Linked DNA regions of Mus musculus. The protein of the gene in region 2 purifies or fractionates together with the protein of the main gene of each other region. This does not show direct contact. Links are inferred from orthologs where the notes say so. Each region holds a gene or a part of one and is shown on either strand. Other genes may lie near its edges. The genes, in order: Stx12 and Vamp5.

Region 1 (4,549 bases), on a different chromosome or scaffold from region 2:
TCGCACGCTGAACGGAAGAACTCATCATATGCTTGGGACTAAGATAAATGACAGAAAAATAAGGATGAATGAATCGTATTTCCTACCTCAAGCAAGCTAACAATCTAACAGGGAAGATGTTCATCTTATCGCGAGAAAAAAACCCACACACTCAGCTAGGCAACCCTTTAGCCTTTCTCAGTCTGTTTCCTAGCTCATAGACTGGGAATGTTTGTAATTACTCCACAGGATTGTTACAGATTAGAATATTACATGTAAAGTACTTTTCATACGGCCTGGCACACGATGTACTTAAACAGTAGCTAGTAACATTATTAACTATTGACTCTAAGGAACCCCTTGACCCCAATGCCTAATCAACGGCTAAATCAGTAGCTATCACCAAAGAAACTGCTCCTAGACCACACCGACACCTTTTTTGTTGTTGTTTTGCTTTAAGACTCACAGCTCAGGCTGGCTTTGAACCTGGAGACTGTCTTGCCTTGGCCTCCTGAGAGCTAGGGTTACAGACCTGACTCATCACACCCAGGCTCTGGTTTTAAACTCCTTCTCTGTTCCTCCTTCCCTTTCTCCCTTTTTCCCTTTGAAAACAGACTCACAATGTGGCCCTGGATCACCTTGAACACACTAGGCAGTCTAGATTTGCTTCTAAATCATGATAATCCTCCTGCCTCAGCCTCTCAAATGCTATCGTGTACGACTATGGCCAGTTTCAACTCTAATTTTGATTTAAGTAAACACAGATTTGCAGTTAAAAGAATCTGTATCAGTTCCTATGCTTACTATACAACTTAATACTCAAATATGAAATATTCCACATACAGTCATTTAAATTAGGTTAGTCTCAATGAGAAAAAAAAAAAAAACCCACAAATTCTCTTTCTTTCTTTCCTCTCTTTCTTTTCTTCTTTCTGGTGGTTCAAAACAAGGTTTCTCTGTGTAGCCCCTGGCTGTCCTGAAACTCTGTAAACTGGCTAGCCTCTCAAACTCTGAGATCTACCTGCCTCTGCCTCTCAAGTACTGGAATTGAAGGCATGACCCCGCCCCCAACACCTGGCACAAAATTTTCTTTATTATTTTTGTGTGTATGATATGTGGAACATACATAGAACTAATGTAAACAGACACATTGTGTGTGCCAGGGAACGAGTGTGGCTGAGTGTGGAGGTCAGAGTACAGCTCTGTGGAGTTAATTTGCTCCTTCCACGTTCATCTGGGTTCTGGGGCTCAAATCAGATGGTCAGGCCTGCACAGCAAGCACTTTACCTGAACCATCTTGCCAGCCCCTTGAAAAGAATTTTCTGATTTATCCTGTATTATAGCTCCTTAACAAAAGGAAACTGGGACACAAAGTACCATACTGTCTAGTCATCAATTATTATTGTGTTTTTCATATCTGGGTTAACAAGCTGAGTATTCGTACTACCTCCATACACCCAGGCCTAACCCTTCCTGCCTGAAACTTTCTACCTCTCAAATCCTACAGTATACATTTAGATATAAAAGCAAAGTGACAAGCTGGGTGTGGTGGCGTACATTGTTAATCCCAGCACTTGGGAGGCAGAGGCAGGTGGATCTCTAATTTTGAAGCCAGCCTGGTACACAGAGTGAGTTCCAGGATAGTCAGAGCTACAAAAAAACTGTCTCAAAAAGAAAATAAAAGCACAGTGGTAGCTTATGCTTTAAAGCTTAGGACATAACTGCAATTCAGAACTGACTCTACTTATTAACAGTATAGCTAAGCTCACAAAAAAAAAAAAAAAAAAAAAAAACAGAATAATAAACAACACAGATGGTTGTCACCATTTTTAAAGTAAAATTGCTTCTGTTGTTCTGTTTACAGGGCTCTGGGATGATTCTGAAACTCAAAAACAGCCTGTACTTGACTCTAGCTACAGAAGGGAGTTTTAAGGTAAGCAGTTACAAACTGACTTGGCCCAACCCTGCCATCTCTTACTTGGTGTGTAATTGTGGCCAAGAGTAGCTCTCAACGGAGGCAGAAGAGGACATCTTCATGCTTGAAATGGGAAAAACGTTCGCTACAAAGACAACCTAACCTAAAATGTTCCCGGTGCATTCTGTGCCATAAAGCAGCAGTCCTCCCGTCCCTTAAATGCCAGGCACTGACTGACGTCCAGGTTAATTACAGGAAACACAGTGTATTAAGTCACTCGAACGCACGCATTCTCCACTTCCCTTAATTGAAAGTTGCTGATGTCTGAGGACCCAACCGCTGAGCTGAATGTGAACCTAAAGTCGCAACCAAGTAAGCACCCCCTGATCGGAACTGAGGAAAACAAGGTGGGTGGGGAGAGGGGGACGGCGACGACAGGAAAAACTCGGCTGACCACTGCGCCAAGTCAAGACTGCTGCTCACAGTCCTGGAGATGACACACACTCCCTCCCACCATCGGGGCTGTCGGCTCTGTTGACCCCCAACACCGTGAACTCTAACCGCCTAAGACAGGGGTGTGGACCTAAAGGGCCCGAGCCTGGCCGACCCAGGGAAAGGCAGCTCGCCGCGCCCAGAGTGGAGGCTCGCGACGGCCTCAAGGTGTGGCCTGAGCTGCGACCCAGACCGGGCTCCCCGACTTGGCAGCTTCACCACCGTCTGTCCCTCAGGCCGCCCCCAGCTCCCGGCTGGGTCCCCTCGCTCACTGGCTTGGCTGATCCGCTGGATGTTGCCACTGCATGTCTGGATGATGCTGTTGAAGTCCCGGGGCTGAGGCCCCGACGGCCCGGGGTTCCGATACATGTCTAAGGGACCGTAGGACATGACAGTGAGCAGAGACCGGGTCGCGCTTCGCGGCGCTCCTACCGGAAGCTGCCACTGACCGGGCCCAGCAGCTGAGAGGAAAACCGGGAAGAGAAAGGGCGGGGAAGGGACCGCGACTGCGTGCGCACTGACCCCCCGCCCATCGCGGTGCGCATGCGCGCGCTCCGCCCCATCCTGCAGTGCGCGTGTGCGGCTGGAATTGGCGGTGGGTCGTCTCTTGAGAGTTTTCGAACTGCTGGCGGTGAGCGTTCTCGCAAGACCCGACTCCTCCAGCTGTGAAGCCAGTACAGGACCGGACTTCTTCAGCCTGTCGTCTACAGACGGCGCGCCCCGCATTCCACGACCTTCCGGCCGCCAACACGCTCATCCGCATCCTGCTGCTCCCGCATCCTGCCGCTCCCGCATCCTGCTGCTCCGCGCGGCACTGTTGTTCAGGCACCCAGCAAGTTCTTGCTTTTCCAACCCATGTCAAAATCGAGGTGAATGCATGAGCATGGAATGGGACCAGTACACGTGCAGTTGTACCCGACAGGATTCGATGGTGAAAACTGTTCAACACCTAAATTTCTAGCAAGAATAAAGTTACTACTGAAACCATCCGCCAATACGGTGTGCCCCGTGCTTACCCACTTCAAGGGATTCTGGGACATTGTTGATTAACATTTCCTTCCTTTGAGGTCAGGCTGGTATACAGGGTGAGTTCCAGGACAGCCAAGGTTACATAGAGAAACCCTGTCTCGGAAAACCCACTCACACTCCAAACAAATAAAAACCATTCCCTTCCTGCGGAATTCAGTCATGAGATATGTTGCCAGCCAGATGGCATTTGATTGACAGCCCACCAACTTACAATGTGCACCACACCTACGAAAACTGGGCACCCTTCTCCAACCTCTCCTACTACATCAGAGCCTCTCCTCCTGTAACAGATGACTGCCTGACTCCCATCCTGTGAAAGGGAAGAAGAGGGTTTCTGATTCAAAAGATTATGGGGAAAATTCTAAGAAAAAAATTCATCCTTGACCCCCAGGGCTCGAATATGATATTCACATTCTTCGGCCAGCAATTCACCCACCAGTATCTCAAGACAGACCAGAAACAAGGACATATATTCACTAGAGGGCTGGGCCATGGAGTGGACATATAAGCCATGTTTATGGTAAAACTCCAGATAGACAGCATAAACTGCTCCTTTGCTTTCTCTTTTAATTATTTATTTTTATGCTCATTGGTCTTTTGCCTGTACCTGTGAGGGTGACAGAGCCCCTGGACCTGGAGTTACAGAGAGCTGTGAGCTGCCATGTGAATGCTGGGAATTGAACCTGTGTCCTCTGGAAGAGCAGCCAGTGTTCTTAACTGCAGAGTCATTTCTCCAGCCCCAAACTATGCCTTTTCAAGGATGAAAAACTCAAGTACCAGGTAATTGATGAAGAGGTATATTCTCCCATCAGAGAGATCAGGGACACTCAGGTGGAAGCAGACTGCCACTGCAAACCCCCAAATACCTGCTTTAGGGCAGATCTTGGGTTTGGCCACTGGTCATATGGTATAAGCTACACCATGAACCAGCACCACAAACCATTCTCACCGAAGCCTTACCAATCATTTGAAGAACTCAGGAGAAAGAGGCTGCTGAGTTGGAAGTTCTCTGTGGTAAAATTGATGCTGTTGGTGCTGGTTAAGAGCACTGACTGCTCTTCGATACGTTCTGAGTTCAATTCCCAGCAACCACATGGTGGCTCACAACCATCTATAATGAGAGCTGATGCTCTC
Region 2 (3,236 bases):
TTCTTCTTCTCTTCTCTTCTCTTCTCTTTTCTTTTCTTTTCTGAGACAATTTCTCACTATGTAACTGAGACTAGCCTCAAACTCAGAGAAATCCACCTGCTTCTGCCTCCAAAGTGCTGGGATTCAAGGCATGCACCAGCATACCAGCCCACCCCCAACTCCACAGTCTTTATTTCCAGCTAACTTTCTGTTTTTGAGACATCTCTTATTGGACTAGAGCTCACCCAGGCTGGTGGCTAGTGATCCCCAGGACTCTGCCTCTCTCTACCTTCCCAATTCTGGAAATACAAGAAGGCCACCACATTAGGGGCTTTTGTTTATGTGTTTTTGAGAAAGGGTCATTGTGCAGACCAGGTTAGCCTCAATCTAACAGAGATCTGCCTGTCCCTACTTTGCCAGTGCTTGAATCAAAAGTTAATGCTACCACATTGGACCACACACCTGGCATTTAAAGATGGGTTCTGGGGAGTAACTCCGGGCCTTGTGCTCGAAAGGCAAACACTTTGTGGGATTATCTCTCTGTCATGTTTTTTGTTGTTTCTAAATGTTTTATTTTATAAAATGGTGTGTGCGTGTGTGTGTGTGTGTGTGTGTGTGTGCGTGTGCACAAGTAAGTGCAGGTGCCCACAGAGGATGATCTCCCTGAAGCTGGATTTACAGTAGTTATGAAGTGCCTGACTTGAGAGATGGAAACTGAACTTGCAGACTTGGATCCTCTGTAGAGCAGTACACCTTTTTTTTTTTTTTTTTAACTTCATGTTTGTTTTTTTTTTTGTTTGTTTGTTGAATTTATTTTTATTTTATGATTGTTGATGTTTTATCTGCATGTGTGTCTGTGTGAGGGTGTCAGATCCTTTGGAACTAGAGTTAAAGACAGCTGTGAGCTGCCATGTGGGTGCTGGGAACTGAACCTGGATCCTCTAGAAGAATAGCCAGTGCTCTTAATCTCTGGACCAGCTCTCCAACCATTTTTTTTCCTTTTAAGACAGGGTCTCTCATATAGCCCAGAATAGCTCCTAACTAACTGTAGCCAAGGATGATCTTGAATTTGTATTCCTCCTGTCTCTACTTCCTGAGTGCTGAAACTATAGATGTATGCACCACCATCAACCCCAGGACTTTGTTCATACAGGGCAGGCATTTCTGTCAACTGAGTTATACTCCCAGCAAGCCCTTTCCTTTTTATCCTTCTATCTGGAGTTCCATTGGTCCTCTGAGAATGTTCAAGATATCAAAGATGATGGATTTCATTTTCATGGGAATGGGTGCAAAGGTCTGGTTTGTGGACTACTGTGCCCTTGGCCCACATTCCTTAAAGGTCCATCTGTGTAGGACAGGATCAAGTTGGAAAAGGAGAGGAAGGGGCTGTCTCCTGAAATATAGTCCTTTGGATGAGGTGATAGGTTTTCTTTTCTTTTCTTTCTTTTTTTTTTAAGAGATTACATTAATTTGGGGGGGGGTCATATAGTATGTTTGTGCTACAGGGTCTGTGTCTGTAGTGTATATGTGTGTATGTGTATCTGTGTGTGTGTGGGGGGGGTGTATATGTGTAATGCCTATGTCTGGTGTCTGTAGGGTGTGTGTATGTATATGATATACTTTTGTGTCTGTGGTGTGTGTGTGAGTGAGAGAGAGAGAGAGAGAGAGAGAGAGAGAGAGAGAGAGCATTTTTAACCAAAGAGCAGCTTTTACTGAGCTCCAGTGGTGTGGCCTAATAGGGCCAGTGCAGCAGTCCACTCTCAAGGGCCAGTCCATGGCATGATGGGAGATGCAGAGGTGCACATAATCCTGGATGCCCTTCAGCAGTCATTTGGGTGTCCTAGATGGAAGCAAACACCAGGATTCTCTGGAGACCAAAACAGGCCAGTGCAGTCATTCAGCCTTCCCTTCAGGCCGGGCTGGGTCAGTCCCCAGTCCCTAAGGCATCACCTGCATCCTAGGCCTATGGTTTACTACTGTCCCCACCACTCGGAAGAAAGACGACCAGCAACACAATCAGGATGATGAGCAGGCCAACAGCCACTGCTAGCCCCAAGTAGACCCGGCACCGGATATTTTCCCAGCGCTTCTGCTGGGCTAAAGTCTTGGTTGTCTTGCTGAAGGCCGAACTCTGCAGATACCAAGAGATATGGGGAGGGAGTGAGGGAAGAGGGTGGGGGGAGGAGAGAGAGAGAGGAGAGAGAGAGTGTTAATGGTTCCCACAGGGCCTTAAAGCCAGCTCTCCATTCCCATGCCTTCCCGTGCTAGGATGAACTATTCCTACACCCTCCACATCCTGTCTGCTGCCTCTCCTCCACTCACTGTTCCCTGTAACCATTCTAGCCTGGCTCTTGATCTCAGTCACTGCTATAACACTTGACTCTCCATCCTGCTAGCTCACACCCACTTAGCAATACCAGGCCGTGACCACTAGGGATGCACACATCTCCAAAGACTTATTTGTTTATTTCTGTTTGGGTGTTATTGTTTGTAAGACAGGGTCTCATGTATCTCAGCTTAGACTTACTGTGCACCGGAGAATGAGCTTCTGAGCCTCTGGCCTGTCTCCTGAGTGCCGGGATCCTAGGTATACTACCACTCATGATCCATGCCACAGTGGGGTGTGAGCCCAGGGCTGTGCATGCTAAGTAAGCACTCTATCAGCTGAGCTACAGCCCCAACCCAAAGGCATCTTGGTGAAACCGACTTGTAGGAAACCCGGAAGTTGCACACTGATAAGCAGGCAAGCCTAGGAGCCCACCTAGGGCCTCACCTCCCCAGCAAAGCCTAAGCGCTCCCTCTAAGGGTCAAACTTCTCCTGTCTCTCCTCCCCCTGCTCCCATCGGTCACACACCATGTCCAGGAGCTGGTCTGAACGCTGCTCCAACTCCGCCAGCTTGCCGTGACGCTCCAGGACCTTGTCGAAATTGTTGAGCATGATTTCCGTCACTTCGTCCGCCTGCTGCTGGCATTGCTTCAGTTCTTTCCCTGCCTGAGCACCAAGCCCAAGGTCAAGGCTGCGAGGGTTCCCCACCCAGCCTTCCTCTGGCACAAAAGACCTAAAAATCCCCTACAATGTCTGTGTGTGGTGGATGAGTAATAGCCTCCTTGGTGTGTAACGACATGAGATATTCAGGTTAAAGGGCTGCCTTCTGAGCAGTTTGCTTCCAGGTTCCTACCCTTATCCGTCCACCCTGGATTTCAGCATCTCAGCTTCTTCCATGTTACCCCAAACTGGGAGCTTCCCAGGTCCTCAC

The links.
Region 1: the proteins of Vamp5 (region 2) and Stx12 purify together in Homo sapiens (affinity purification with mass spectrometry; 3 studies listed by BioGRID and IntAct, with this or other methods). This does not show direct contact. The link is inferred for Mus musculus from reciprocal best matches to the Homo sapiens genes VAMP5 and STX12.

What each region holds. Positions count from the first base shown.
Region 1 is NC_000070.6:132,881,590-132,886,138, forward strand, and holds the start of Stx12 (syntaxin-12), read right to left. Parts: upstream 2,870-4,549; 5' UTR 2,777-2,869; coding exon 2,659-2,776; intron 1-2,658. UniProt on the Homo sapiens protein: SNARE promoting fusion of transport vesicles with target membranes. Together with SNARE STX6, promotes movement of vesicles from endosomes to the cell membrane, and may therefore function in the endocytic recycling pathway.
Region 2 is NC_000072.6:72,367,361-72,370,596, forward strand, and holds the end of Vamp5 (vesicle-associated membrane protein 5), read right to left. Parts: intron 2,972-3,236; coding exon 2,834-2,971; intron 2,111-2,833; coding exon 1,943-2,110; 3' UTR 689-1,942; downstream 1-688. UniProt on the Homo sapiens protein: May participate in trafficking events that are associated with myogenesis, such as myoblast fusion and/or GLUT4 trafficking.